Lepisosteus oculatus: one gene and its partners. The protein of the gene in region 4 interacts with the protein of the main gene of each other region in a pairwise test. Links are inferred from orthologs where the notes say so. Each region holds a gene or a part of one and is shown on either strand. Other genes may lie near its edges.

Evidence for each region.
Region 1: the proteins of rnf11a (region 4) and smurf1 interact in binary tests that used the Homo sapiens proteins (3 or more experiments, as listed by UniProt). The link is inferred for Lepisosteus oculatus from reciprocal best matches to the Homo sapiens genes RNF11 and SMURF1.
Region 2: the proteins of rnf11a (region 4) and wwp2 interact in binary tests that used the Homo sapiens proteins (3 or more experiments, as listed by UniProt). The link is inferred for Lepisosteus oculatus from reciprocal best matches to the Homo sapiens genes RNF11 and WWP2.
Region 3: the proteins of rnf11a (region 4) and stam2 interact in binary tests that used the Homo sapiens proteins (3 or more experiments, as listed by UniProt). The link is inferred for Lepisosteus oculatus from reciprocal best matches to the Homo sapiens genes RNF11 and STAM2.

What each region holds. Positions count from the first base shown.
Region 1 is NC_090714.1:10,267,299-10,275,254, forward strand, and holds the start of smurf1 (E3 ubiquitin-protein ligase SMURF1), read left to right. Parts: upstream 1-4,791; 5' UTR 4,792-5,016; coding exon 5,017-5,071; intron 5,072-7,956. UniProt on the Homo sapiens protein: E3 ubiquitin-protein ligase that acts as a negative regulator of BMP signaling pathway. Mediates ubiquitination and degradation of SMAD1 and SMAD5, 2 receptor-regulated SMADs specific for the BMP pathway.
Region 2 is NC_090715.1:12,307,418-12,314,825, forward strand, and holds the start of wwp2 (NEDD4-like E3 ubiquitin-protein ligase WWP2), read left to right. Parts: upstream 1-4,243; 5' UTR 4,244-4,307; intron 4,308-7,408. Other genes in the region: diacylglycerol O-acyltransferase 1-like, read left to right, coding at 119-270, 1,507-1,569, 2,353-2,597. UniProt on the Homo sapiens protein: E3 ubiquitin-protein ligase which accepts ubiquitin from an E2 ubiquitin-conjugating enzyme in the form of a thioester and then directly transfers the ubiquitin to targeted substrates.
Region 3 is NC_090707.1:4,803,498-4,811,083, forward strand, and holds the start of stam2 (signal transducing adapter molecule 2), read left to right. Parts: upstream 1-4,421; 5' UTR 4,422-4,680; coding exon 4,681-4,720; intron 4,721-7,586. Other genes in the region: hacd2 (very-long-chain (3R)-3-hydroxyacyl-CoA dehydratase 2), read right to left, coding at 306-423, 3,631-3,755.
Region 4 is NC_090706.1:16,877,376-16,884,791, reverse strand, and holds the start of rnf11a (RING finger protein 11a), read left to right. Parts: upstream 1-4,369; 5' UTR 4,370-4,671; coding exon 4,672-4,770; intron 4,771-7,416. Other genes in the region: rad23aa (RAD23 homolog A, nucleotide excision repair protein a), read right to left, coding at 239-400, 3,437-3,502. UniProt on the Homo sapiens protein: Essential component of a ubiquitin-editing protein complex, comprising also TNFAIP3, ITCH and TAX1BP1, that ensures the transient nature of inflammatory signaling pathways. Promotes the association of TNFAIP3 to RIPK1 after TNF stimulation.

The sequences.
Region 1 (7,956 bases), on a different chromosome or scaffold from region 4:
GCTTCTTCCATGTTGTGGTTTTTCAGTAAAATGGATGACTGACTGTAGGTCTTTTAACTTGTAGACCTTGGCAAGACTTTGCTATTAAACACTAAGCTCTGTTAAATGGTAACATGGCTAAATGTCTTAATGCATAAATTAGTAAGGTATTAAAGTTTAAGTGTAACCATCCTGTTGAATTCCCAAAAAGTGATTTTCTGAGTTACATAGGCATGGAGTTAACTAGTAACCCAAATTCCACATCCTTTTATCGATGTGGAAAAGAAATGCAAAGTATTGCATTTGTATCCTCTGGGATCTGGTTTTCAGAATACTAACATTTCTGCATGATAGAAATCAGGTGAAATATGTGAAGCTATTTAAATCCCTCATAATGCAAGTTGTCTTAAAAAGAAGACTATGATATGCTTGAGAAATTTCTGGAAGTGAGAATTCTGGTTAAATAGTTGCATTTAGAGGTTGTATGATAGCTTCCACTTCGGCAAACTGGAATGTTCATCTTGCTCAATGGAAAGACTATCCTGGCTACCTATTAAAATGCAGACCTGAGAAAGCTTTCAAATTCCCAGTAAGACTTTGAGTAGCCTCACCTTCACATGTGGTACTGCAGGAAGTGTTTTACCATTCCTGATGTGTGGGATTACTTCCATGTCGCCTGATCTGAATTCTGTTTTAAGAGAAGCCCATTTTCCTTCCATGTGGATACCTGAAGGAATAAGCATAGATGACACCTAAGAATTTAAAGGTAGCAACTGAATTTTCACCTGACTCTCTTCAGGATCTATTCACACTCCGATTTTGATTTGAGGAACTCCAGAGTGACTCAAGTTACAAAGGTGTAATCTTGGAACACAGTCTGGCTTCTCTGCTCCAAATATACTGGTTGGGGGAAAAACTCTGTATCTCATCCAAATCCTCTGAACAAACAGAACCACTAGAGCAAATCAGACAGGATATTAAAGGGGGAGGGCTGGGATTAGATGGTGAGGGTGCTCTGGACTTTCTGCCAAAGGGACTACACGGACCTTCAAGATAATGGTTACCTCACTGAAAGGTGCTTGTCCAATCGGTACTAATTTGTCTAACATGGTAATGCAATTGGGGCTTTACTGTGAAGCTGTAAAATGGGTCACATGGTAATTCCAAATTATGGTTATGTAAATGTAATTACTAGAACAATAAGGGAGAAATGTTAGTTTGAAATAAGGTAAACATCCCCAGTGTTTTAAAGCACTTGCATTGATTAAAACTCTACATTCATGCAATATCTGATTAACAATGGGTCATACAATTAAAAATATTTCCCCTATATACAATTCTATAATGTGTGCTGACAGCCTGCATGTCTTTGGCAATAGTGCCACATATGGATCTCTTCCTCAAACCTCCTTGGTCCTCCTACTGTATACAATACAGCATACTATATATATGACTTGGATTGATTGTTGGGTAATCCAATCTCTTTACATTTTTTCTGTTTAACCTATTTCCAGTCCATTGTATTACTTTGGAATGCTCCTATATATCCATCTGTGTCATTAACTTGAGACTAATTTATGCTGTTTTTTTTTGTATTAGCTCAGATGTTTATGCAATGGAAACTACTTGATCTAGAACATGTACTGCTAAATGCTCACTGGTTTCAATGAGTTTTAAAATTGTATTGGTTCTGCAAAATCATATTCCTGTTATATATTTCATGTATCTTCTATATGTATGTTTTTGACAGATACAGTTGAATACATGTTGAATTGAATGACTGTGTTGCGAGTAAGTTATCTTGCTCAGTGAACATATGGTTAGAGTGTGTAGGTTTGCTTCTGCTCTGGCCTGGATTTGTAAATAAACAAGTAGACATCTATGGCCAGCTATGCAAATTTGTAAAATGCAGAAACCATGTGTTTAAGTATAGAGTATGCTTGATTACTCTTTTCCAATTGCGTTTGTAGCCTTGCAAATATAGTACTTGGGAGCATTTTGCAATTGGATATCAGAAAGATGTGCATTTTTGTTTTTCATTTTCCATGTGACCTAAATGTATACAATCTATTCTTTGCAACTCATTTGTAAATACTGAGGATGTGTGTTTTTTCATTCTGATCTATGTGCTTGTATAGTTCTTCCAATTAAATATTTTTCAAATATGGTTAATTTTGTGGAATGTGGTTCTCACGATTCCTAAAGAATGCAGTAATGTTTAAAACCTTGACCGGTGTTTGAACCACAGGCAGTATGGCAGTCAGAATCCTTGTTTGTCTTGTGGGGATTGTTTCCCTGTACATTTTGTCAGAGGAAGCCTTTGTTTCATTGATAGCTAATTCTTTGCAATCCACAATGAAGCTCAACCTGTTGATAAATAAAATGCCCTTAACTCTTTAGTTGCACATTTTTACATTTTAATTATGTAGGTCAAAGACGCCATTTTGTTCCTCTGTGGCTTTATGAATGTAGTAACTATCTGCAATGGCATGGTGTTTAGGATTCATGTCTTGCCAGCAAGACTCTTAAGTTTTATGGTGTAGCTTAAGGCGAGAATAAGGGAATGATTTACTATTGTTTAGAATTCTTTTTACGAAATTCCTTTTGAGCAGGTGCTTCATGGAGGAGATTCTCATTTCTCATTTAATCATGTTATGAGTCATGGAAGTGAAATAACTCATCAAGACTGACAAGTGATTGAGATCAGGCATTTAATTTAGTTTACTAAAATAATTCCATAAATTGAAGTGACGAGTAGCAGAAAAACCTTGATGTTCACATTATTTTGGTTTAACCAATAGATGAGCTTGACTGGAAAAAAATAAGTTGCAGTGTTTAGATTATGTAGGTGGTTATACCACAAAATTATCAATATAATTAGGAGAACACCTTTAAATTGATAGGGGAGCAGTCACTTAACTCATTTTTGCAGCCGAACTTTACATAAGATTCTTCCATGAAAGCTACTGCAAGACGCATCCCATAGAGCTACACTGAAACAGGCTACCAGCCAGCAACAATTAGCATGTAATGGGGATTCTACAAGTTGCCATGGTCTTGCACACTGTTGCAGATCGCTGGGCCTGGAGCAGTCCCACCAGGCAGGAACTGTAGTCGTCTTGTGTATTGCCCAAATTAAACTGGGTGCGTGCTTTCACAAAATCAAAAACTCACTGAAAGAACTACTGTACATCAGCATATGACCAGACTTTCTGCAGGCCGGATACCAAAGTTATGCGCCATTATAATTCTGTTTTTGGACAGGAAATGAGTCACAGTTATTTAAAAAGTTTCTTTACTGTAGGTGCACTCACATGCCCTTTCCCAACAGCTTGTAAAGAATGTTTTAGCCTGATGAGAACCTGCTTTGTGTCTGGTATCAATTAGCTGGAAGGTGGGTGCAAGTGATTTTATTTGACTTGAGAAAGAAACTTGGATATTTTTAAAAAAATATTTAAAAGAAATCCCCACTCAAAATTTTGTTTGCCAATATGGTGTGGAATATTATACTTTTACAAATGAGGATATGAATGTCTTTTTATGTTTTAAGACTTTTTCATTACATACAGGGGTTCACTTGTTTGTGGATTCAATACAATTATATAACAAATGCAGATGTCAAACTTTTTTAAAAAAAATCTTGTACTTGAGAATCTTATACTACACTAAGTACATTTTGATGTGGATGAAACATGGTTTTCAGTAAACTATTATTTCCTAAATCACATTATTCTTTAAGAGCTGGTTTACTCTTTGTGAATATTAAGATGCAAATCTATATTAAATAAAGCTATTTAAATTGACCTCTATATGTACTTTATGTAGTTAAATAAGTTTAATTGAAAAACGCTATGAAGCTGATCCCCGAAATAAATTAATGTATCATCATCTTGACATTAAATACGGCTGTCCTGCTGCATACAATTTGTAAATCCTTAAGGGCGTCGAATTTTCACAACAGCTGAGTCAATAGTATTTGGTAAAGATGTTTATGAGTGTACTGACGGGCAGGTTAAGGACGTTAAATACTTCTTAAAGAAATATTTGCATTACTCAATTATAACGGGTGCGTAACATTTTTTGGACTGTAGCGAATTTCAGTATATTAAATTCAATAATTCTTAATATATATATATATTTAAACAAAAGCATATTAGGGTATTTAGTATTTTAAACATCAAAACTAAGACTATTAAAATAATCCAAGCAGTCATCAAGAGTGGTATCACATTAAGAGAAAGTCGATCCAGGATGTCATACAGAACACACTTAATTTACAACACGTTAAAACGACTATAATTCATGTAACACAAATATTTCGGATGTCATTGTGTATGGGACGTTTCCATTTTGTACAGCACAAGACGTATTCTTGTACTAACTAAAAACATGAGACGTTTTGGAAATCTACTTATCGCCCTTTGAAATGGATTCTGGCGTGTTAACCAAAGTTAGGAAATTAATTTCCCCCATAATCCACACATGTAGCTATGCATTTTCCATATACTCCGAAATGTTGTAAAACGCCAATTTAAACGTATTGAGGCACACATCCCATTTCTGCACAAAGGTAGTTGCGTTCGTGTGAGTACGCCTACTTACTGTTAGGCATGGCATTGACATTGAGATTTTTACAATGCAAACACACCAAGCTTGGGGGGCGCCGCCTCTCTCTTAAGAAGTAGACGGACACGACCCCTTTCCTCGCTTTTCCTTTGTCATCCAGCCCCTGCCTCCCCCTGTCCCGAGCAGTCGGGACCGCTCTGACACCTCGACGCCACAGTCGTGTGCGTGCACGTCCCGCCGTGCTGCGCTGACGTCAGAACGCCTTTGAGCTCGAAAATGTTTAGGAGCGTTATGCGAGCTGGGAGCTTTGGGGGATTTTCCGAGAAGGAAATAATAAAAATATACCCTTGATAAGCCATTCTAGAAACACCGTTTTGGTGTATTTTGTTTTTCCCGACAGTCTAGCTTCGTGGTGAAGTTTTAATCTTAGGTCAGACCTAAGGGAAAGTTAGCTATTTCTTTTCCGGAGTGATGTCGAATCCTGGGACTCGGAGGAACGGGTCTAGCATCAAAATCCGACTGACAGGTAAGCAAAAACACCATTGTTGTTAGGGGTTTGTGTTGCAGTTTTGTCTTTTAAGTCCGGCACCTCCACTTTTAATGCCATACACCCTAGTTGTGGGTGAAGAAGCCGGGTGTTTTTCATTGGAAGCCTTTTGTGGGCAGACCCCTTGCTGCACCAACCGAGGTGAAATAGCCGTAGACCTGGTAATTTCTCTACCATTGGCGATGAACCAGGCTTGCTGGGATCTGCTGTTGACGAGGTTGGCCCACTTTTTTGTTTCCTGCGATTTGGCAGAATTCATTTGTACAATAAGGACTTGCAAACAAACGATCTGTGCACGGGATGTAGGTGCACACGGCCCAGGATCACATTTACATCGGCCTCTTACAAACCTTTTTTTTGTAACTTTTATGCATTTTTGCTGGACATCAGCATCAGTTGCATATCGTGAACACCTTGCATTTATGATCGTTTCCGCTTTAATGCTGTCATTTGCCTTTGCAATGTATTCTGCTGTCTGTAAATAAATGGAAGGGACACACTGTGCACAGGCGCACTCGGGCGGTGATGTCGCTTCCTTCCTGCCTGATTAGAGCGCCTGCTAACCCGTCTGTCCTTTTAATTTTCGAAGTGCTTGACTGATTTCGCTCCGGGGAGGAAGCTGCTCTGGCAGAGCCGGGATCGGAACCGGATCAGCCCTGCTGTGCAGAGCGGTGAATGATTTGCAGGACTAGTTCAAACTCGGAACTGCCGAGACGGAGGCAACAAGCTGACGCTCAGACCTGGCAGCCTGCTTTTGTGTGAAGTGTGTGTCTGCACTGTACATACATGTGTATGATCTAGGCCTGTCAGCTTTGCAGCCTGACTAAAACAGAGACCATGCCCATTCAGTTCCACTTAACAGAAATCTGTGGCCAAGTAAATCGGTCTTATTGTTCTCCAAATTAGATATATTCCCGATTGTCGGCGCATTTTTCCCCGAACGGATTACTAGGGCTGAGGTGCTGTAGAGAAGCTATGGTCAATGCACCAGTCTTCTGTTCCTGTGGGTCCGGAGGGTGTCAGCACTGTCTACTAGTACTGGAATCTGAATGGGGTTTAATCGCTGTTTTATGGGCCCTTCAGCTACAGTACATGTGAAAGACTCTTACAGACTACACTGCCGTTTTCCTCTACGTGGGTAGTTGCTACCATTGCTATGCAAACTGCGAAGCTTGCGGCCATGAACCCGAGATTCAGATTCTCATTATTATTTTAATTGTTTGTCTTTTAGAATCTGACAAAGTGCGTTAGAATTTTGTTACGGTCTGCGTGGAGTGTTAATGTGAGGCATGAAAAATCCCATAGGTTCATGTAGTGCACTCTTAACCCGGACAGACTTGGCCTGCAAACTGGGGCGTATTAGGGGCAAAAAAATGTTAATCGTAAAACCCAAAGCGTTTTATGGTTTAGCTTTGCTTGTCGGGTTGACTCTTTGTTTTCTGTCTAGATCCAGCGACAGGGGTGGAGAATGTAACTGTCCAGCTGATAACTTAAAAGTTCACGGGTATTGGGGCTGATGGAGCATTCATTTTGTTTGTCGTCATTTTATCTTTTGGTCACAAATATAGAACTGTCAGCCCATCTTGTACTTTAGCTTGAATTGTTTTGATGGCCGGTTTGTGATTGACAATGATGCAGTAAACTGGCTTTACAGTAAGAATCATGAAGTTGTTTCTCGAAGCAAAGTATAGGCTGTATTGTAGCCTCCTAATGTCACCATTACTTTGTCATATGAAAGATGAAAAACAAAAATGCTGTACTCGATCAAAGATATCCAAGTTAAGAAGTGTGTGTATTTCACCATTCACATTCACCATTCATCATTATACATTATTCATTTACACAGAAGACCATTGGTTGCTGTATAGGCCTAGAGCTTTCAGTCACACAGTACCTATGAAAGACATGGGTTGTTTCTGGATTATGTTGTACTGCAGCTTCTACTATAACCTCAATCAAACTTTCAGCAGAGCATTCAAGTTTCTAGTCGTTAGTACGTTACTGAAGCTATTTGTGTAAAGAGCTGTAAAAAGCGCCGTCTGTAAATTGATTTTTTAATTGCCGAAGTGGAGACAAAAACACCTTTGGAGAGTGACAACTTCGAATAAATTCTGAATTCCATTGTTCCCATACCCCTGTATGGAGAGAAGATAGTGTTATTTAATTTGTTTTAAGTATCTTTGACTTAGTCTAATAGGAAGAGGCTTTTATGTCTAGCTACAGTTACATTTTGATTTTACAATCTAAAATTAGATTAAATGATTCTTTGTCATAGTTTACCAGTGTTACACAGGGGCAACCTTTCATGGGGATGTTTATTTGTTTTTAAATCTTGCAATAATGTCATTTGAGTTTAGTAATAAGTAATTGGTTAAGTATTAAGTGCCCAAGCTGTTTGATAGAAATATTGTTCCCTCATCAGACCGTGGCTCTTGTTTCTTCAGCTGACCTTACAAGAGTTCATGGGTGAATAGTTCCTGAAATGGCTGTGATTTTGTTGTTGTTTTTGAGGAGCACAATGTGTGCCGGTCAATGGGAGGCAGATTGTGAAATTGCAAGGGCTGGAAAGATCCACACTATTTACAGTTACAGCCATTTCCATTCTTCAGTCTTCACGACGATTTGAAAATGGAAATTAAACGCTTTAATGAAAATTACTGAATAAAAGTAATCTCGGCTTTTTAATAGAGCGGTTTTTATTTCAGAAGTGTGTTAATGGTATGGACCTTGTGTGCCAGTTTTAATTAATTTTTGGTTCTTTGATTTTACAGGATTTAATAATCTTCATGTTGCAACTCTCAACTGTCTTGATGTAATGTGCAATAGCAACCAAAACAACAATCAACAGAGTGTATTAAAAAGGT
Region 2 (7,408 bases), on a different chromosome or scaffold from region 4:
TCACTATATTGTGACATATGGTCAGATATCAAATTAAAGGTAGAGATATGCAATTGCAGCAAAGCTGGAAGTGTGTGGTCACGTGCTGGGTGATGACCTGCTCTCCTCTGTCCGCCAGACACCTGTACAGACCCCTGCTCCGGAGGAGACTGGCCCCTCAGCACGCAGAGCTGGCCGTCTTTGTGATGTCTGCGGCCATGTGTGAGGTACCACGCCCTGGGGGACCAGACATTCATCCACAACTCTCTCCACCTGCCCAAAACAAACGACGTAATGGAAAGACCATTACAGTTCTGACCCTGCATTTCACCTGATTGCTTTTTTTCTGCCTTCTCGCTTTTGCAACATCGTGCTGTCCACCGTGCACGGGGAAAGAACAGTCTGTGGATGCAGGAGATCATTCATGTCAGGAATCTTCGGTGTGCAGGAGCTCGGACATGTCTAAATCCCTAGGAATTGTTTAGATACTAATGCGTCACGGCACACTAAATAGCATTTTTTTCTATTGATTTGTGAGCAGGTGATATTCCTTTGATGATGTGTGTTGTTCTATGAGAATGAGTTATGGGTCAGCTAGATCAGGGGCACCAAAGGGATACAAAACTGTGTACCTGTGCATTTTTATACAAGTCATTCAGTGCTAAAGATTGTGTGAAGAATAAGGTAGTTATATAATAGTTATAATTAATGATAATTAAGGACAGGAGCATTGTGTTATTTGAACATATCAGTTTCATAAAGGAATCTTATCATGTTATATTATATAAGAAATCTAACCTGGAACTGTAGATGTGGACCCACAAAGCTTCCTGCACCCAGGAGATTGCTCTCTTTATTCTGAGGCAAATGGTTGGTTCAGTCTCTTTCACGTCTGTTGTGGCCTCTCCTGAAATCCTGTTCAGTTTCAGGTTTTTCTCACCAAGGTAACAAAAGACTTGGGGAATCACTGTTCTTGGTCTGTAAAAAAAAAGAAAAAGAAAACCATACTTCACAAGAATCAAAAAAAAAAAATCAGCTTAACAAACACAACTTAACAAAACGACAACATCAAGACTGTTGAAGCTGAATATTGGCACTGATCTGTTTCTAATGGCTGTTGTTTCAGTAGTAAGTGGATAACTGTCCTGTACTGGGTAAAGATTTTTAAGTCTCAGGGAAGAGTTTAAAGTGTTTTTTATAGCATCGTGATACCTGCTCATCTCAACATGAATCACATGTTGACCTTTACATTATGACTTACAGTACCATGGATGTAGAGAGGCAGAACTCCAAAGTACATGGTTTAACAGCTTCTGATATGGATAACATGGAATTTCTGATTAAAAAGAGTGGATTTCATGTAAGGGCATTAAAGCTACTCTTGCATTAGTGAATTTCCATGATCTGCATTGTTTGGATCAGAGACGTGTCTTTCAGCTGACTGAACTGTTCCTTATTGTCATTCAGTTCACCTGACTTCAATCCAGACCTCAATCCTCCCTCTCTGTCTGATATTGTACTTCACAGTTCCTCATTGCTGTACCTCTGCAGATGTTTCGCCTCTGGATCTTCATCATCATGATTCTAGAGGTAAGATCTGAATTTGCTTGATAAATCAGGTGTTACTCTTTGTACTGGAATTTACAGACTTCTCCAGAATGTAGTAAAAGCCTTATATCCTAGCACATGTGCAAATTGTCCTGCTTGTCCCTGTGACTGTCATTGACAAGTGACTGCTCTGAATTTGTTCATTGATCCAGGGTGTTTGTGGTACAGGCAAACACCCTGCTCACCAGTCCACCCTCAAACTGCCTTTGACTAGTGCCAAACAGCTCAACAGACATGCCTATAAAGAGCACTTGATTAGATTTGATCATCTGTTTTCATGTCTGTTGTCCGTTCCTGTCTTATTGTCCTTTTGCCTCATCTCAGGAAAGATTTCTGAGCAGCGACACCCCCCTGTGACCACTGTGTGTTCATGTGCATCTTGAGGTTCTAGCAGAAACATTAGCCCCTGTACTCTAACGCAAAGAAATTACACAGAGACTCACTTTGGAACCGTTTCCATTGTCAGAAGTACTTGTTTCACAAACTCTCTTTGGGATCTTGCATTTTAGCACTGTGTGAAAAACCGTGCTATGATCTGATGAAAGGAGTATCCTTTCTTAACTAAAACATTAACATGTTTACATGTATGAAATACCCATCTTGTCCTCTGTTTTCCTAATTATGTCTGACACTGTATGTAAGGCTGTTTATGCAATCAGACAGCTTACTGTGCATGTTTTCCTTTGTAGTATGTCTGCTTCACATATTCTTTCATTTCTTGAAGGTCAAACCACAGTGCCTCACTCCAGAGTCTTGTCTCCCCAGATCAAAGTGGCGTACTTCCTGGGGCACTATTTCACAGGGAACTATGGCAACGGCATGGTGTGGCTCTGCATGCTCCTGGGCCCTCCCATCGCGGTCATGACCTACTTCCACGACTACTACATCCTGAACAAGGAAAACTCCTCCTGGACGCTTATTTTACCACCACTCTAGACCACCAGCTCTGTGGGAAACCCGGCCGATTAAAGGCTTCTCCCCTGGAGAAAGCAATGCCCCGTCTCGTCTAGCGTCTGCCATGTGTGCTCTTCTGCTCTGTAACTATGGCTTCTGGATTCAGTGTTTTGCCATTCTTATGCTCCTTTAAATGTTTGCTTGACACCCATTTAAGTCATTGATGTTAATCCTGATTCCAAATGCCATACTTGTTAATAGTCAAATTGATGTAACTGTTGGGCATTCGCTGCCTAAGATCTGAACTGTCATTCAAAATCAGCCCTTGTCCTTTTTACAGGAGAGCAGGGGTGCAAAGCACAGCAGTCTCATTATTCACACATGGGAGAAACGGGCAGCACTGTCTGAAATATGGCCTGCACTGCAAGGACTGCAGTGAACTGAAGCTCGAGACAAAAGGCACTCACTGGTATTAGCACAAGAAAAATGAGAAGTTGTTTTATTTAAGCATATTTCTGGGATAAATTGCAGTCATGATGACCTCTGTGAAACGTAGTTGATTGTGTATATTCTACGGCTGTTGGAGTCAAGCTTCTTAAGACATTGGGAAGATGTGAAATGGGACTTTTGCCAGTCACTGGATTATTAGAAAACTGCATCCTGCAGAGGACCTTTGTCTGGGTTACCTACAGTCATGGACTGAGCAGCAGTAGGTCCCAGTGTGCCTCTGTGACAAAAGGCATCCTTGGGGCTTCCATTCCAGTCTGCATCACGTGTTTATTCCAGATCATCCTTGATTTATTAAAGAGACTTCAGCTCATGGATCAATTTAGCAAGTAAAGGCCAAGTCAGTAATGAGGCTCTTACAGCCTGGACCGGAGGAGTCAAGGCTGCCTACCCCTGGTATAAGACAGAGATCCTTCTCCCAGGGTTCCTTGGGGAGCTACTGCTTTGTAACTTTTTGTAACTTTAAAGGTAACTTTAATCCTTATTGGCAGCTGCTGTGGGACCAGCTGTGTACTTAACCTATTCATCAAAGAAATAAAGAGCTCAGAATGAAGAATAACCAGAACAGCTGTGATTCTCTATGACAGGGTCATAAAGTCCTGGAGGGCCACTGTGTTTACAGTTTTTCTAAGCCTCTTTAAAGAACCAGCACCCAGGGGAGGGGTTGGTACTGTACATTGGTTAAATCCCTTAATGAGGTGGTTTGGATTGAAGAGAAATTATTTGGAATGAAAATCATTGCCATGACCTTCCTGGATTTGAATCCGACATCCCTGCATAATGAGCAGCGTTTGGATTAAACCATGTCTTCGTCCCATCTTCCAAATATCTCATGAGGTACTCTATTTTCCATGGTGTAGACACTAGAGACTTATTTTCATTTAATGTAGACCCAGTAGGGAGTACCAGTTAAACGGGGGCAAATTTCCATGACAAGATTTTGTTTCTAACTCTATGCTGTCACACGATGAGGTTCCCAGAGATTTAATCGGTAGACATTGTCATGGTCTCAGCTGTCTTTTTGACATACATTAGGAAAGGTTACCAAATTAGCGAAATTTAACGAAACGGTGAACTAGAGGATCTGCAGCAACACTATACATAACAACTCCGGATTCCAGTCTCGTTTTTGTTAAAACTGAGGGGTCCCTACTAATACCACGGAATAAAACGAAGAATCATATTCCAGCCAGGGACGATCGGGCTGCACTCCGCTGTTTCCCGAAAGGCTTTGCGGCTCTCCAGCCAGAGTCATGTGACTCTGACATTGAGGCGGAAATGAAAGTTAACTAGAGGCACCGGAGCTGAGCAGGAGCAAGGTACGCCAGAGCTTTTGGAAATTGTATTTCTCTACCGCGATAAGCTTCCCTTCTGTCTGGAGCCGGCTTTCTCCAAAGTGACACCTTTTCTCTTACGGAGGGTCAGATTACTGAAGCTTGTTTTGCTACCGTGCTTAGAAGTGCTGCCCGCTTGCTTGTGGTTTGTGTGTGTTATTCTAGTCCGGATACGTATTGGTAACAGACAGCAGCGTTTGTTTTGTTCCCATTCGCGATACAGGGGAAACGCGGGGCTGACGTGCTCATATGGGGGTTCAGTCTGCAGTGCCCGGGGGTGTCCAGGGTTTGTAACGTACGCTAGAACAGAGATGCGGTGGGTAGGACTGAAACCCGAGTCGTAGTGATACTGTAGCTCTGTTTCTTCCTTATTTCTCGGAGCACGCAGTTTAAGGTGTGTTTGTTGCCGCATTTAGCAAGCAAAAATGAGGAAACATTTCGCACCGTTTAGTCATGGGGAGTTCGGTGTTGTAACATTCTCTTCTGACTCCTTTTGGCATCCAGAACTATACGACTACAATATAATTCATCTCCCATACCGGAGTTTTCTTTAAAAGGATGGATAAAATTACTGCTTGATTGATTTCCTCGCGTGCAGGTGAAAATGTATCGTACGTAAGGCTGGCGTCTTCCACCTGCGAAGGGAAAATGTAATTTCGTCAGCTGTGCAAAGGACTGCGGTATTGAAGTCTCTCCTGGGTCGTAATACTCGCAGGAGGGGCTGCTTGTACACAAAGCGTCTCTTGAGCGATGGAGGGTATTTCATGGTCAGCAGAGGTCGGTCCTAAGGGCGGCAGGGGAAACAGAAACTAATGCTGGGTTACCCAAGATGTGCCACCATCCCTGTTCTGATCAACAGTCTTCGTAGACAGCATGCTGAAAGACGATTGTTCTGCTGATAAGCCTCTTCAGCTTTCGTCATTTTTTTTAGTCAATCTAATAAATTCTATCTGTTACGGTTTTGGGGCCAGACTCCTTCTTCAAACTTATTGATGGCGCACACAGTGCATTCCCTGCTTTGTGGTAAAGACTTCAAATAACTAAACTAATTGAAGACGCAATGCAAAGGGGTATTTCTACCCATACAATCCGTCCAATCACGCAACGCCTAATCCGTAAGTGAGTATTAGGCGGCATTGGTGTCGGAGAGTGTTAATTAGGTCTGTGGCTATCGCTTCCTCACCTGATCTGCTGTCGCATGGCATCCAGGTGCGGTAGCGCTTCAGTGGCGGAAGAAGTGGGGTCCTATATGTGAAGTACATTGGTAAAGCATTCTATTAAAGCAAGGATCTGTCATCCTTGAGCCCGATTCACAAAGGATTGGTAAAACGGAAAACGTATAAAGCTGAAACGTAGTCTGTGTCGGAACAGTGGTAAAAGACAGTGCTTCTGTCACCTGACTGGTGATTGAAAAGCCCAATTGCTTATTTTCCAATGGGACCTAGTTTTGAACAGATGGCACTACAACCTTTTTCGAGCCAGGCTGAAGTTTTGAGTACATTCAATACTGCAGGAGGCTTAACTATAAGGTGTGTGTATTTGATTCACAGCAGGTTTCTTGCATACTGGGTTGATTCTAGTTTCTGTGCATAGCATGAGGTAGTAACAATAAACTTTATTTTATGTGTTGCTTTTAATACTGGCTTCTCAAAATCGCTTTATAGTAAGAAAAAAGGTGCTCTATGAGAGAAGACAGCAGAGTTACACGATTACAGTGTGAGTTTGGAATGCAGTAGGAAGGCAAAGGGGCAGACGCAGAAACAATTAAATAGAAGCCCTTCTAAACGGCATGCTAAATATAATATAGAAGATTTTATATCGTTTAAAGGGGGCGGAGCGGAGGCTCTGTGGCTCAGGATCTGCGCCTGTGGCTGGAAGGCTGTCGGTTCGTATCCCGCGGCCGGCAGAGGAATCCTACTCCGTTGGGCCCCTGAACAAGGCCCTTAACCCCAGCTGCTCCAGGGGCATCGTATAAAACATATAAGACCCTGCTCTCTGAGCCCCAAGCCTCTCTCCCTGTCTGTGTGTCTCATGATGAGCAAGTTGGGATATGCGAAAAGACAAATGCCTAATACAAGAGATTGTATATGGCCAATAATAGTGATCTTATCTTAAATATGAAGGTTTTGAGTCTGAGGTAAGGTAGCCTGTGTGTGCTCTCCATGAGTGCTGATGTGTCCAAAGCAGCAGATTTGTCCAGTTTCCAGTTTACATCCTCTTGCAAGACTGACATAACTGTGGAAAATAAGAAAACATATTGACTGTTTGGTTACTGGCTGCCTGAGGGATTTTCTGTCGATGGAGGAGTTCTTGTGCATCTCCCACTTCTCTAATTTACTAATGATAGTGTTTCTTTGGTGTGATCCTGCACAGCCACCTTTTAACATGGTGATTTGACACATTAGCTCTCGCTGCTGTAGCTCCTCTTGACTCTTGTTACTGCTGTTCCAGAGCTAATTACTAAGAAGCGAGTTGTTGACGTACCAAAGACAAGCCATATGCTTTTAAAATGTGGTTCCTGTGATACAGAAAGTACTCCCACATTAAAGTGAGCATTACTTCTCCCATGTATTTTTAGTTCTAATTCTTCTTGAATTATTAGTGCTAATACTATATAGGCCTATGAGTTTGAAGCCTTTCTGGATATCGGCATGCCTGGGATAACACTGCACCTCTATTTTTGTTATGCAAATCCAGATATATCGTATTACTCTAATTCTGCCCTGATCTTTGTGGTCATTGACCCTTGTATTTGAATGGAGGTCCAGTAATTACACTAAATATACCTCATTGTGCATGTTATGTATGTTAATTGGATCCATTTAAATCACTGGGCAACGGCTTTATCTGGGTCAAAACCTTTCTGCACCTTTCTGATTTTGTATGGAGGGGGAGGTATGTTCCGTAGTGCCGTCTGCATGACAGGCAGCGTATTTCGGCAGCACTTTGTGGTTGTGTTCCGAGTCACGTCAGGTTATTCCCTGTGAAATTAGTCACTAAAATCTATGATGTTTGTTGATGTTGGCTAAATAGTTCCCATGTGTTTTGGCTTTGTTAGAATTGGTTACCAAGACCTCCGGTTTATG
Region 3 (7,586 bases), on a different chromosome or scaffold from region 4:
TATATAACAGCTGATACACAGATGCATTAATCCAGGGGATCTAACTGCATTATAATGTTAGCCTGTTTGATTATGAGACAATAGCTAATACAACCTATCACTGCGACCTGACACAAGGGGATGCATTTCAGTCTTATCTAAACTTCACACTGTTCTCATTATCTCTATCCTCCAGCCAATGGATCATGTGCACCCGTTCTATGCAAAGTCTCAGCCAAGAGTAACCGTGATAAGAAATGGTCTTATCTCGGGCTTCTCCTTCTTACTGGTTAAAAATGGAAGGTGTAAAGTTCAGCACCACCCACCTCCAACAGAGCACCAGTCTGAAAGAATTTCAGAGGCTTTTCTATGGAGTAGTACAGGCCGTGGTGACTGCCCTTCGCGAGATACGCCCGCACCAAACCAACAGCTATGACCAGCCACCTGAAAGAGAAAAAAAACAGCCGTCAGCACGCGTTTCGCAAAGCAGATCCTGGACACACAGCTCCGGGGAGGGAAATATTCGCACCCCCTCCGTCCGCCGCTCGACCTGCGGTTCAGACAGACGAGCCTTAACGTGCTCTCCCACGGGAAAGTGAAACGTCACGTAGTGGCAGAAAACGCGCCAGACTAAAATCGACTGTAACGTTAAGGCAACACGACATTCCAGAGAAATTTGAAATGAAGGAATTAAATTCCACAGGAATGACTTAACGGGGGCAATAAATTGTAACCTACTGGATGTAAGAAATAAAATGAGTTGCAAGCAGACTAACATTTCTGCTGAAAACACCCTATGAGGGCTTTAAGAAGAGGAAAAACAGCTGTTCAGATAACGAAAACCATATGGCTGCAGATGAAAGGCTAAACCCATCCTGCTCTATTCCAGCCATTGTCATTATTTTAGAGCTCTTATGGAAGAAAGATTTTAAAATTTTGGCAGCAAACGCCATCCCGTAACATCTGGAATGTTTCACACCTGGTGACACTTCGCATGAAAGACCAGTACAAAACACAACAAACAGCACTATATTTTTCTGGCCTTCTGATAAAACTCAATAACAATAGCAAAATTATGCATTGTTTATACATGGACATTTGTCTAATCTGTGAATGTGAGTGAAATAGTCGTTTAACCACAGAAACTGCCCCTTCAGGATCTACAGCATACCAATGCAACATATGAGTACTGTAATTGGGGAAAAGAGGAGGCAGCCTGTGAAGGGCGAGGCTGAAAACATGCATTTTCTTGTTTTAAAGACAGATCTATCAAGTGAGGACTGTATTGCCAAACAGGGGAAAAAAACAATTCCCTCCCTTATAAAAGAGGATGCTTTCAAAACCTTAAAACTAGGTAGTTTTGCAAATCAAATTCAGTCAAGACCCACAAAATGATTACTTACCACTTGTAAACCTCAATTATCCAGGTAATCAAGAAGGGCCTGAGCAGACTGCTTCATTAAATGAACAAGAAACTGCATCCTGTTTATAATCAGCAGTTGTTTTGTCACTTTTGGAACCCGTAATAGAGAATATAATTTCTGTTCAAGCCCGATGTATCGAGGGAACTGCACCAGCAGCTTCACAGAGGTGAAGCGATCTCTGACACTCATCACCTAGCCTTTTACACTCTTAACACCAGAATGCACAATACAAGATTTGAAGACGGCAATAACACCGAGTCCAGCAGGCAACCTGTAGCAGAGGGTCACAAGGTGCCTAGCCCATTGTGGCCCCCTGGGTAAGACTTGGCTGCCTCCTAGAATTACTCATTATTACGTTCTATGGCTGAGCAGTTTATATCTACACCCATTTATATGGCTGGGTACTTTACTGAAGCAATTCAGGTGAGGCGCCTTGCTCAAAAGTACAACAGCACAACCTCACCTGCGGTTTGAACCTACAATAGGATGAAATCATCCCGATGAATCGCTTGCTTTAGTAGCTGGGAATACACTGTACTCACTCAGAAAGGGGAATGTAATATGAGAAATGATTGTTACACAGATCTCATCGTTAACAGAGATGAAAAAAACAGATAAATGAAATCCGTTTTAATCATTTTTCACATCTCCTCCAACTCAGGATATAAAGTCAAACTCTGAATCTGCTCTTGAAAACACATCCAGATGTTCCAGGGAACTAGCATCCTAGATTTACAGCTCTGAATGAGGTTATTTTTAAAGAGAGATCGCTTATCTATTGGGGTTGCAAGGCACAATTCTCTGCAGCTTTTTTACATCTGATAACCAAGCATCATTACTCAGCTATCATTAGACACTGACTTCTTCCACATGAGTGTCTCAGCAATTTAGAACCTGGAATCATGGGCGCAAGGCAGGAAAACACACTGGATGAGACAGCACTCCATCTCAGGAGCGCACTTAGGAGAGGACACAGACACAGGGCAACCAGCACGTCTTTTATGGAGAATTCCCTGGGGAAAACTCATGCAGACTCTGCGCAGACGGTATCCCAGTCTGCAAACCGAACCCACGATGCCACTGTGCCACCAGACAATAATGTGCAAGAAGCACAAACGCATTTCCAAATTTCCTACACGAACAAACAAAAATCATTGCATTTCATAGGCTTTGAGACTCACGGGAATGTCTTTCAAAGGCTGCCCAGTGCTTTCGAAACTTTGCCCCTTTGTACCAGAGCACAGTGACCTGAGCAGCGGCCCAGTAATTCAGTTGTATCTGTATTCATACACCTGTATGCAGTTGAAAAAGATCAGCGGTTTTGCTCAAATATTAACTGTTATTAACATGAACAGTTTTGCAACTTCTTTTGCAGGAAGAATGGTTTCATTGCTGTCGTTTTCTCTACTTATTCGCGATGTTTCTTGATATTTTTATAATAGGATCGTTAGGCATCCTATTATAATAGGATTTTATAATAGGATGCTGGGCATGAACAAACGTTTCTAAAATAAAATGCATCATGTTTTCATTTCCACGGTTATTAATCAACTTGCGCGTTGCAGAAACTTCCAGTTAAGGACTTCTGCCTTGCTCCGGCAGAGTCCGATACCCTGAGAAATTAAACGAGATTAAACCGTAGAACCGTCCATTAGAATTAAATACGCGAACCCTTTCATACTGTAAATGCCGAATAAAACGTAGGACTATCGGAAATGAAAAGTGGAGTGTATTTCTAGACCTTTGTGAATTTATCATCTTCTCTCTACAATGTAAGGCAAGCACTCAGAAATAAAAAAAGCGCTGCCTAATACATAATTCCCTGGTAGAGCTGCCCACAAAATGCAGGGACGCGTTTATCCCTTTCCCGAGCGGCTAATCCACACAGAAAGCCAGGGGTGTCGCAAGCACGGCAGAGAAGCGCCCTACACGAGTGACAGGATTTAACGGCGTCAAGTGCATGCAATAACTCTACAGGTCAAACAGGCACCGGGGAGAAAAAAAAAAACCCACGCAAATCACCGGTGCGTTGAGTGTATATATGCATTAAGAGTCGCCTCTGCAAACTCCTGCGCTACAAAATTGCTCTGTGGAGCTGGCGCCCGTCACCACAGAGACACGGCGTCTTTCATTCATTCGGACGCGGACACCTGACACATTTCGGTGACAGAAAAAACAACAACAACAACAACAACCCCCACGAAGTTTAGCCGTCGGATTGATTTACCCGGCCGTCATGACCACGTTATAGATGACCAGGTAGGCAGTGGCCAGTGCCCCCGGTCCCTTTTTCCGCCTGGGAGGCGCCTCGACGGGAGCGGCTTTCGCGGCCGCGGCGGTGTGTCTCGCCATGGCTGAGCTGGTCGGTGCGGCGGGTGACTGCGGCGCTGCTCCGCCCGCTCACCCCTGCAGGAAAGGCAGGCTGCGGGCCTCCGACAGCCGCTTGCAGGGGCCGCTTTCCAAACAGCGACATCTGGGGGGAATGCGCGGTTTTCAAAGGGGCTCTTATAGCTGTGTGCGTGTGGGTCCCCCCCCTCCAGTCATTTTCCCTGAAGGCAGACGCTCAGCACATTGTAAACGGGGGTAGGTGGATACAGCGCGCCTTGAACGCTCTGCGTCGTCTTCAGGTTATTTGAAAGGAGTGAGGCTGTCGGTTCGAAGGAGCGAATCAACACACGGTTTTGTCGTGTGATTCCGAAAATTAAAACCGAGGTGCCTTTAACATTGCTTGGTTTCAGTTAACGCAGCTACAGGCTGCGCAATTTTTGGAAACATGCAATATCACTGGAATAAAGGATAGTTTTTGTTTACCCCTTTTAAGATTATGAACTCTTACACCGTGAAATACATCCCACAAACGAGACGACCCCCCTGCCAGTCTAACTTTATTCTCCACTGTTTTTTATGCCACTACCTGCCGCGTGGGGGCAGCACCGCCGCCGCTACGCGGCCATCGGAGGGGTGCCCACGGAGATGCCTGAAGAAGGTCGCCTTTAAATACGTTATCAAAATAACTTTTTCAACAACCGTCCCGAAGAATGACCAGAACAAAATTGAACCCGGTGACGTAGATAAAAATCTGTAGAAGCGCAAAGGCCTTTCACTTGGCACTGATTTTTTTCAGGCGCATCTGTGGCCCGGCCCGGGTTTACGGAAGAGCAACTAGTGGAAGTTGGAGAGTTGGATGGATGAGGAAGGGATAGTCGCGAATTCCTACTATTTACACCGCAGACATTAAAAAACAAGGAACGCCGTGCTGTGCTTCAGAGGGATCAAGATGCCCTTATTCTCACAAAATCCTTTCGACCAGGATGTGGGTGAGTTCGGTGAATAAGCCGTCATCATCTCTAGCTTTCCTCTTTATTCTTGTTTTGATAGGAAGTGTGGGTTAAACACCCAATGTTTTTCTTGGCCTGTAGAATTACAGCGAGATCATCACTGAATCGATTCTTTCCCGCAGGTTCGCAGTTTGATAGTTCACTTCTGTAGCCGAAGAAAGAAATTTGCCGACCAAATCGTCCAGTGAACATTTTTTTTTTGCAAATGTCGAGAATCTTTGTAAAGTAGATGGCGAGCGAGCTGGTTCTATTGACATTACAAAACACACTAAAGCAGTCTCTCGTAGGTAAGAAATGAGTTTCCCAAAACAGCTTGGATTTGCAGTCGGCGTTTAATGACTTGTAACTGAAATGGTGTCGTTGAATTAGTTGGTTTAGCTAATGAAGACACGACAGCGTAACTCGTGACTTTCATACGGTACCTAAACCGGTGTCAGAGTTAAAAAAGATGATGTAATGTGTCAGGTGATTTGCTTAAATAAGTAGAGTTATCTTTTAGCGTTAATACAACTGAAACATAAACGTAGCATTACCGAGTTGCTCAGAAAAAGATCGTGTGCTCTGTTTTACATGGGCTTGTCTGAGGTTTGAGCAGGTGGTGACGTTTAAAAACCCCAGTATATTTTTGGATGTGAGAAACCGTTAGGTTGAGGATTATCGGAAAAACTAGGCGGCCATCGGTCCGTCTCTCATATGTTGTGTCCTGACTTTGAAATGTTGTTTATCTACGTTAGAGTGCATTATTAATTGTAGCAGCCAAAAGTAGTGAAAAAACTTTCCGGTACATTTCAGAACACAAAGCAATACAAAAATCCGTATAGGTTTGTAAAACTATGAATGTCTCTCTAATTCGTGACTCATTTGCCTGGACCCCAAATGACACGTTTTAATATGACTGGGTCCGAAGTTGGAAGGGATGGATCATCTGAACGTTATTAACTCCTGATCCTCTTAGGGAGCTGCAGTTTCACCTCGTCTCCATCCCACCCTGCACTCTGAGAGACTGTATCTGAACCAAATTCAGTTAATTGAATTGGTCTGTGTTTCCAGGCCTGGGCTCGATGAGGAATATGACTGACCTGGTGACCTTTTTTTCAGTGATGTCCCTCCAGGACCAGGAGTGAACTTCACTGAAAGAAAAACCACATCACTAGCACTAAGAGTCTAGTGCAAGTTAATGCAGCAAATATGTATATCACTGTTGCTTGTAGTCAGTCAAAATAAATAAGTTTTAACGTGCATGTTTATTGTTATATAATACTACAAACTATCTTTCAAATAATAAAGATCAAATTAAGAATACATTAAGAATTTTACTGTGTGGAAATCTGTACTATGAGTGTAATGTGGTATAAATAAGAAAGGTAAAGTCCACAGCAGCTTCAGGACAGAGCCCAGCCTGGTCACTGTAGTGTTAAGCGGAAGAGAGAGCTTGTGACTCCCCCTCTGCAGGGCACTAGGCCATCACAGGCGTGACCCCCCCAGCAAGACTGATCCCCACTCAGAGAGCTGGGAGGACTGGAGCCACTGGGGTAAAACACCTCACTCCAGGTACCACAGCAGTGTCTGCAGCTGGGCCTCGAACCCACAACCTGATAATTGAGTCCAAAAGCTTAGTGACCAAGCTATGTTGCCCCCTCTAGTTTGGTGTAATAACACAGAATTAGTCAAATATTTACATGTACTTGCACAGTTGTCTTTCACTGCTCCAGAGGGTCTGGCTACATTTGTAGTGCCAAAAACTACCATTTTAATTCATCTGAAGAGGAAATCTACAGTCAAGAATGTTTGTGATTCATAAGAAATGCATGTTGTATATAGCTGAATAAACAGGTTGCATTGATTTTTTTTTTCACATACTGTAAACATCAACAGAATAAATATAGACTGCTTCAGAGTATGTCAACTCAGAATACTTTTTGGCAACTTTTATTTACTGGTAAACCTAAAGCTGTTTTTAAGCTAGGGATTGGTTCTTTATTTGAGTAGTTTTAAATTGCCCACCTTTAGTTGCTTGTCATCATAAAGGTGTGTGTTTAAAAAGGTGCAGATCCTTTAGCGGAGAGATTTGGAGGCATCTATGTGTTGACAAACTCCTACGTGGTTTGTTCATTTATTTTTCTTGTACTTCCAGTTTGCTTCAGGGTGTTCATCACGTTATTTTGGAAATTGCACCTTGTACACTCGGTCTGTCCGTGGGATAACAACGGGCTGCAGAGAACTGTGAATGGATGTTCAGGGTCTGGGTTTGCAGTGGGCTATAAATATGAAAACTCTAATCTGTGGTAGGAAAGGACTGTGCTAAATGTAATCTGTTCCTTCAGATTACTTTCACGACTGCAATTCATCACATTGTTTAAAACAACAAGGGGCATTTGGTATTGCCTAGTTTTCAAGGTCTGTGATTCTGCCCTGTCCATGGAAGACCTCTTAACAACTTTGTCACTGGGGATGAGCTGTTTTCTTGGGCCTTCAATTTGTATTCATGGATAAAACCAGCTCCTGGTTTAAAAGTTTTAAATCTAACATTTAATTGCCATAAGTTTGTGGGACAAGGATGGGGGAAACATACTTTTCTATTCTTTTGTACCTTTTTTCCCAGAAAACAGTGTCAATAATAGTTGTATGAAGTATCCAGAAGGTTGCCATTTGAGTGAGTGGTTTTTTTTTAAATGCAAAGGGGTCTTTTTCTGTCACTGAAGTATAGAGCAGGCGAAATTGCTGAGGAGGTTTTTAAAGCAAGTGTTTGCAGAATAGATCACATGAACGCCTATAAAAACAGTGGGGTAGTATGTCGGGTGGCGTGAGACTGTTTTATACTAGTATTTCAGTTTGTAGAATACAG
Region 4 (7,416 bases):
ACCCCAGGAATTGAACCCAGGGCCCCAGTGTTGTGAGGCAGCGATGCTGACCAGTGCACCACCTTACCACCCAGATTATATTTCCCAGGATTTCAAAAACTCCTTTTCATTTATTCCAGACTTTCCACTTTTTTCAGAATTCACAGGAACCCTAAGTGTCCGTAGGGACATCCTTAGGGATATCTGTGGCCTCACGCCAAGGCTCAAGCAGTAAGACGTGGGTCTCTCCGCCCCCTACCTTTGATACCATGACAACCACAAAGTTCTTCTCGTCGATCTTGTAGTCCTTGATGGGCGTGTCGTCCTGCAGGATCTTCCCGGCGTAGATGAGCTTCTGCCCCGCCACGGGGAAGCTCTCTTTCCCCTTTTCCGCCTCGATCTTCTCCTTCAGGGCTTTCACCTGGAGAAACAAACCACCAGCTCGGGAAATGGACCACTCCTCCGCTTTTCTTTTTAGCGAGCTGGGATCGCCAACCACCGTTTCGATCTCCATCCCCAAGGATTTGGAATCTCCAGTTGTCCGATTGTGAGTTTGTGTTAAGGCAGCAACTTCTGATTCTCCTGTGGAGGAGGGGGGAAGCCCCTCTGACATGCCTCTCCCCCGCAGTGCCCTTTAGCAAGGCGTCACCCTGCAGATTCAGCTCCATGATCACGGGTTCGAGCCTGGGTCATGTTACTGAACTTGAACTTGAACTTGAACTTGAACTTTATTGCCATATGTAACCGGTACTGGTACAATGGAATTCTTACTTACAGAAAGTCTCTCGATTATAAAACAAGTGTAAAAAACAAAACAAAGTGCAAACAGTGCATCAAGACAATGTACAAACAAACAATAGACAATGTGCAAGTAAACATGCAGACAGTTTGACTGTAAACAATACAGACGTGTAAACAATGACTGGAGACGTACAATTAATAAATTACAATGAGGTAGATGGTGATGGTGTAGGTGTGGTCCGAGGGGGATGGCTAAATGTGTTCGCCAGTCTCACTGCTTGTGGATAGAAGCTATTGAAGAATCTAGTGGTAAGTGTCCGTATGCTCTTATATCTCTTGCCTGAGGGCAGTGGGGTGAAGAGCTCATGCCCGGGGTGGTGACTGTCCTCTGTGATGGCCAGAATTCTACCACGGCAGCGGTCCTCATAGAGCTGTTTAATCTCGGTGAGACCGCAGCCGATGATCTTCTGGGCCATATTGACCATTCTCTGCAGTGCCTTTCTTTCTCGCGAAGAGGTGTTGCCATACCACACGGTGATCCCGTTGGTGAGGACGCTCTCGATAGTGCAGCGGTAGAAGTTCACCAACACATGTGTTGGCATCCCCCATCGCTTGAGGCACCTCAAGAAATAAAGGCGCTGCTGAGCCTTCTTCATGATAGAGTCAGTGTTCACAGTCCAGGTTAGATCTTTAGAGATGTGAATTCCCAAAAACCTAAAGCTGGTGACTGTTTCCACTTCCGTTCCATCAATACTGAGTGGGCTGTGAGTGTGTGGCCTGTGTCTCCGAAAGTCCACTATTAGCTCTTTCGTTTTCTTTATGTTCAAGTCCAGGTTATTGCTATGACACCACCTCAGCAGCTGTACAACTTCATCCCTGTAAGTGGACTCGTCATCATCACTGATCAGTCCTATTATAGTGGTGTCATCGGCAAACTTAATGATGCGGTTATTGCTGTGTCTTGCTGTGCAGTCGTGAGTAAATACTGTGGCTGGGACTCCCCGTGCGACGGCACACAAGGGGATGTCAAGGGTAGGGTCGGATTAGCTGGCCAGGATGCCGTTGGCTCATTGTGCTGTAGGTGAGGGACATGCCTCTCCTCATGCACAGGGATTCACGGCCCTTGACGTGTTACAAGACGGGTGTCTCCAATGCGGGCAGGGTGGAGGAGTCTGCCTACATTTCCACATCCTCCCCTGTGTGCGGTGGGGGGGTTTGTAGCTGAGAGCCGAGATGAGAAAAGCCACACACGATTGGTGATTCCAGATCAAGGACAACACAAAATGGAGGCTATACTAACAAGAACAGGAAGGGCTCCTTCAGGAGCCAGGAGAGTGGCGGGTGTCTGAAGCGGTTTCCAGCACAGCTTTCAAAACCTGCCTGCCTGACATTTACTTTACTCCATTCGCAAGTAGCTGCCAAGCGAACAGGGCTGGCTAAAGGGTCTTTTCTTTTTTCTGAAATTTCTAAGAACCTGAGTACAGTTAGCAACGAGAAAACACCATTCATCCCTCCCTGCCCTTTGGAAGCTCCTCAGCCAGCATTTCTCCTGGTCTTTAGAAACAGGGGAGCTGTACAGGCACAACTCTGTCTTGCCTGATGCCTCACAAGGCCTGTTAACCAGCACAACATCAGGCCTGTCATCTCTTCCACGCTCCTAAGTGTGGCCATGTGATGTTGTGATTTTGCTTGGGAGCCTCTTATTCTGAAACGATGTTTGCTGAGCTGTACAAAAATGTTTTTTTTTTATTAAATGTGTTCACTTCCCAAAAGAGGTTACCTTTTATAAAACACAAAGAATTAAATGTATTTTTAAAATCGTACAGTAGTGTGTGTATATTGTGTACACTAATGTTTTTTTTTAACTGGGAAAAGCAGATGGGTCTCAGACGAGGGAGTTTTAAAAAATATTAAGTCTTCAATATGATGTCATGTTTGCGAATGATGAGCATTAAAACATGCCTTTTCGGTCTCTTTTCTAAACTCCTTTACACATGCAATGTCACCCATATCTATGTTAGTAACAGTCACTCAACAACGGCCTAAACTGCGTTTCTGTCTGTCTGTTACCATAACAATCGTTTCTTATCGTTTTTAAGGAACCGCCTTTCATGTGATGAAGAAACCGCTGTACAGAGTCACGTGGCGTATGACTTCTGCTGTTCACGCACGAAGCATCATAACTAAAGTACCGAAACGACACTTTAATTCCGCAGAATTATTTCATAATTGTATACGCGGTTCCTGTAATGAAACACACCGAATTACTCATTGGAACAACTCAGTGGAACGCTTTTACTGGGAATTATGTGTCAACGTATGCGGTGTCTTACGTGTAGTAACATTATTCTTTAAAGAAGACTCGGACAAGAAAACGAACATGTACAAATCTTCCGACAAACCGAGAGGGCCAACTCTAGCTGAGGATATCCCTTTAGCTCGGGGTGTCCAATGGGTTTTTTTCAAGAAACTTGTTAAAGCATATGCGATCGCTCGGCGAAACGAAACTGTCAACTTTGAAAATGACAAATTCGACTTAAGTCTAAATCCGCCAAGAAAACCATCACCAACCATCACTGTTTTAAAAATATCTAACGTTACACTTCAGTTTCATCAAATCGTGTTTGGGTTTGTATGGACTGAGGCATTAGTACGGCTTAACAGGTAATATTAATGCCTCAGTCATGCTGTCATTCAACAACCTACAGCCGCTTACCGTTTGCTCTGCGTCTATGTCAATTTGAATAGTTTGCTGTTGCAGCGTCTTCAGAGTGATTTGCATCTTTCTTCTGTTTCCGATCTGTCAGTCCAAAACTTCTCTAAAAAAACTATATATTTGAAACACAGCCTGTCAATTTGGATCTGAAATAACTCGCACGCTGGTAGATGAGGTTGGCGAAAAAAACAGCACACACGAGCCATCAACTCACTGCCGCCATCTTAGTGATGACGTCATGAAGCGAACGCGGTGGGCAGACGGTCCGGCGTCATCTCTGTCACGTGACGTGGGTATCACTCGAGTTGAGGGTAATAGAACGCTATTAAACACGTGGTTCTTGTAAAGTTAGGTGTCATTTTCGTATAACTGCGTGGTCAGAAGTCTGATTCCGTGAACTAAACTTAACATACCATAAATGGCACTATAGACAACGATGTACCAATTGCCGTAGTGTCCAGTGACGACAGTAAGGTCTATCGGAGACAAAAGGCTCTGCTCAGCCTGATTTTGGTACCTGCTTGCGGTGATAAATAATCCTTGTGTTGAATAAATACATAAAACTAAAAGACACGCATCCCGTATTTTATGTATTCAGGGAAGGGAATCGTGCCAGACTGGAACTTTCTATTTTTCAGGTTGTTTTTCTCTGGAGGTCTCCCATCGCAGTACTACCGACCTGACCCAAGCTTGCGTATCTTCTGAGATCTGACAAGATCGAATTAGTGTTATGATATTTTTGTATATATTTTGTTACTCTGCGTCCCCCTAGCTATAGAAGTCCGTCAAATGCAACAATAATATAGCGAACAGACAATGGCAGAACACAGTAATGACTTCTAGTAATATCAGTCAAGTACTAATTCCCCTAAAATTTATTTTTGTGTGCTTGTTCAGAACTACAACTCCCACAAAGCACCTAAACGTCATTTCCGGCCTTTGCAGTTTGTAAACAGAGCAAAGGGGAGATGGGGTGGACTGATCCTATAATACTAACTTAAAGTGAATCGGATATGTAACTGATATATAAATACCGGCGATTTTTTGGGTTTATTTTTGGCTAGGAGAGATTCGGTTGCAAGCACAAGAAAGAAAGCCAGAAAACTGTTCATGGATAGGCGTGATTTAGCAGCGGGTTAGCTTTCCTTGCCCATATTTCGGGTGTCGGGGGAAGACGGGTCTCGTTTAGCCGCCCCTCTGCAACTCTCTCGGCCAGTGCACCCGAGTCCACTTCGATGGGGAACTGCCTCTCCTCGCAGGGTGCGGACGACTTGTCGTTGCTGAACGAGTCGGAGGGGGCCAGCTTGCCCGGAGAGCCACCGCCGCCCTATCAGGTGCAGTAAAGGGGGAACGAGTGAAATACAGACCGGGGATTCGCTGGGAGAGGACGAGTGGTCGAACAGAGCTCTTCAGGCTGGCGTCTGGAAAAGCCCAAACAAAAACGAACGCCTGTATAATTTATACATTTTTAAAATGCTGGAACTCCGAAGGCGAGGGAATTAACGAGTATTTATTTAGGTAGTTCAGAAGTGTAGTTAAGACGAGAAAACTGGTACACAATTATTTCTGCTCCAGGGAATGTGGCTTTTTTTCCTTTCTGTTAGTTTTCCGTGAAACGTGCTTTTGAGACGATTCTCATGAGAACCTCTCTTCTCTTTTTGAGACGTGAATCCCGAGAGAATTAAGAGTGCTACACATTTACTGCACAAAAAACCCGCGTTGCTTTGTCTGTTGTGTGGCAGACACTGCGACAGTTTATTACACTTTAAGAGGCCGTTGCATGTTGATTACAGGGGTTTAATTTAATTTACAAAGTAAATTAAAATGAAATGTCTGACTTCAATAGCATACCGAGTACGTCTGCAACGCTTTCAAGACTAAGAACGTTTTATCGCCTTGGTGTTGCTACCCCCTTTTAAAAAATAAAATTAAATTGTCAGTGCAGCCAAGCGTGATAAAAACAACTCTTTATGCTTATTGTGATGTAGATCTGAGGAGAAGGTCCATACCAACACTCCAGGGAATAGAATCTATTGATTCAAACTCTTAGTTCCTTTTGATCAGACCAGCTGATAGACATAGCAGGGTTACCCTTTCCGTCCTGTTGGGCTGAGACGGGGCTTATAATGGGATTTGATTGAAAAAATTCAGGTCTCCTCTAATTTGTATGGTTTGCTTTAAGCCTTTTTCTGTTTGTATTTCTTGAAGTTGACATGTTGAAACACTCCAAATTAAAGTTCATATCTTCACGGTTTGTGCTTTTCACTGTTGGATGTACTGTCTAAATATCTGGAGCAGTTTTCTTCAGAAGATTCCTTGAAACACACCTACTGCTAGATGCAGAATTTAGTTGAAAAACGTTTCTTCCAAAACACTGAGGATATTTACAGTCCAGTTGGTAGACTAGACTTTAGTGGTCCAACATGCTTGTGCTCCTATCTGTCATTATTGATTAAATTCCCACACTGCCAAGCAAACATTGTTTCATTAAACATTGTCTGCATTGTAGCACAGAAAGAGAAGAATGAAATGGTTCCAGTTAGACTTCTTTGGACGTTGAGAAGGTCAAGATAACCTGTAGGACTGCAGGTGTAAGAGAGCTGGGAACCCTCTCTCTAAAGATATTCAGGCTTGAAGCACAGTACCTGGGGGGGAAAGACGTTTCCTCTATTTTCATGTGTTGAATAACACATATGATATTGTAAGGGCTAAAAATAACCCTGTGCAGCTGTTTGTTTTATCGCGTGTGTGTGTGTGCACCTGTGTGCCTGCTCTCCTGTAGGCTGGGCTCTGACTGTGCCCTGTGCCTGCTCTCCTGTAGGCTGGGCTCTGACTGTGCCCTGTGCCTGCTCTCCTGTACGCTGGGCTCTGACTGTGCCCTGTGCCTGCTCTCCTGTAGGCTGGGCTCTGACTGCCCTGTGTGCCTGCTCTCCTGTACGCTGGGCTCTGACTGTGCCCTGTGCCTGCTCTCCTGTAGGCTGGGCTCTGACTGTGCCCTGTGCCTGCTCTCCTGTACGCTGGGCTCTGACTGTGCCCCGTGTGCCTGCTCTCCTGTACGCTGGGCTCTGACTGTGCCCTGTGCCTGCTCTCCTGTACGCTGGGCTCTGACTGTGCCCTGTGCCTGCTCTCCTGTACGCTGGGCTCTGACTGTGCCCTGTGCCTGCTCTCCTGTAGGCTGGGCTCTGACTGTGCCCTGTGCCTGCTCTCCTGTAGGCTGGGCTCTGACTGTGCCCTGTGTGCCTGCTCTCCTGTAGGCTGGACTCTGACTGTGCCCTGTGCCTGCTCTCCTGTACGCTGGGCTCTGACTGTGCCCTGTGCCTGCTCTCCTGTAGGCTGGGCTCTGACTGTGCCCTGTGCCTGCTCTCCTGTACGCTGGGCTCTGACTGTGCCCCGTGTGCCTGCTCTCCTGTACGCTGGGCTCTGACTGTGCCCTGTGTGCCTGCTCTCCTGTACGCTTGGCTCTGACTGTGCCCTGTGCCTGCTCTCCTGTAGGCTGGGCTCTGACTGTGCCCCGTGTGCCTGCTCTCCTGTACACTGGGCTCTGACTGTGCCCTGTGCCTGCTCTCCTGTACGCTCGGCTCTGACTGTGCCCTGTGCCTGCTCTCCTGTAGGCTGGGCTCTGACTGTGCCCTGTGCCTGCTCTCCTGTAGGCTGGGCTCTGACTGTGCCCTGTGCCTGCTCTCCTGTAGGCTGGGCTCTGACTGTGCCCTGTGCCTGCTCTCCTGTAGGCTGGGCTCTGACTGTGCCCTGTGCCTGCTCTCCTGTATGCTGGGCTCTGACTGTGCCCTGTGCCTGCTCTCCTGTACGCTCGGCTCTGACTGTGCGCTGTGCCTGCTCTCCTGTAGGCTGGGCTCTGACTGCCCTGTGTGCCTGCTCTCCTGTAGGCTGGGCTCTGACTGTGCCCTGTGCCTGCTCTCCTGTAGGCTGGGCTCTGACTGTGCCCTGTGCCTGCTCTCCTGTACGCTGGGCTCTGACTGTGC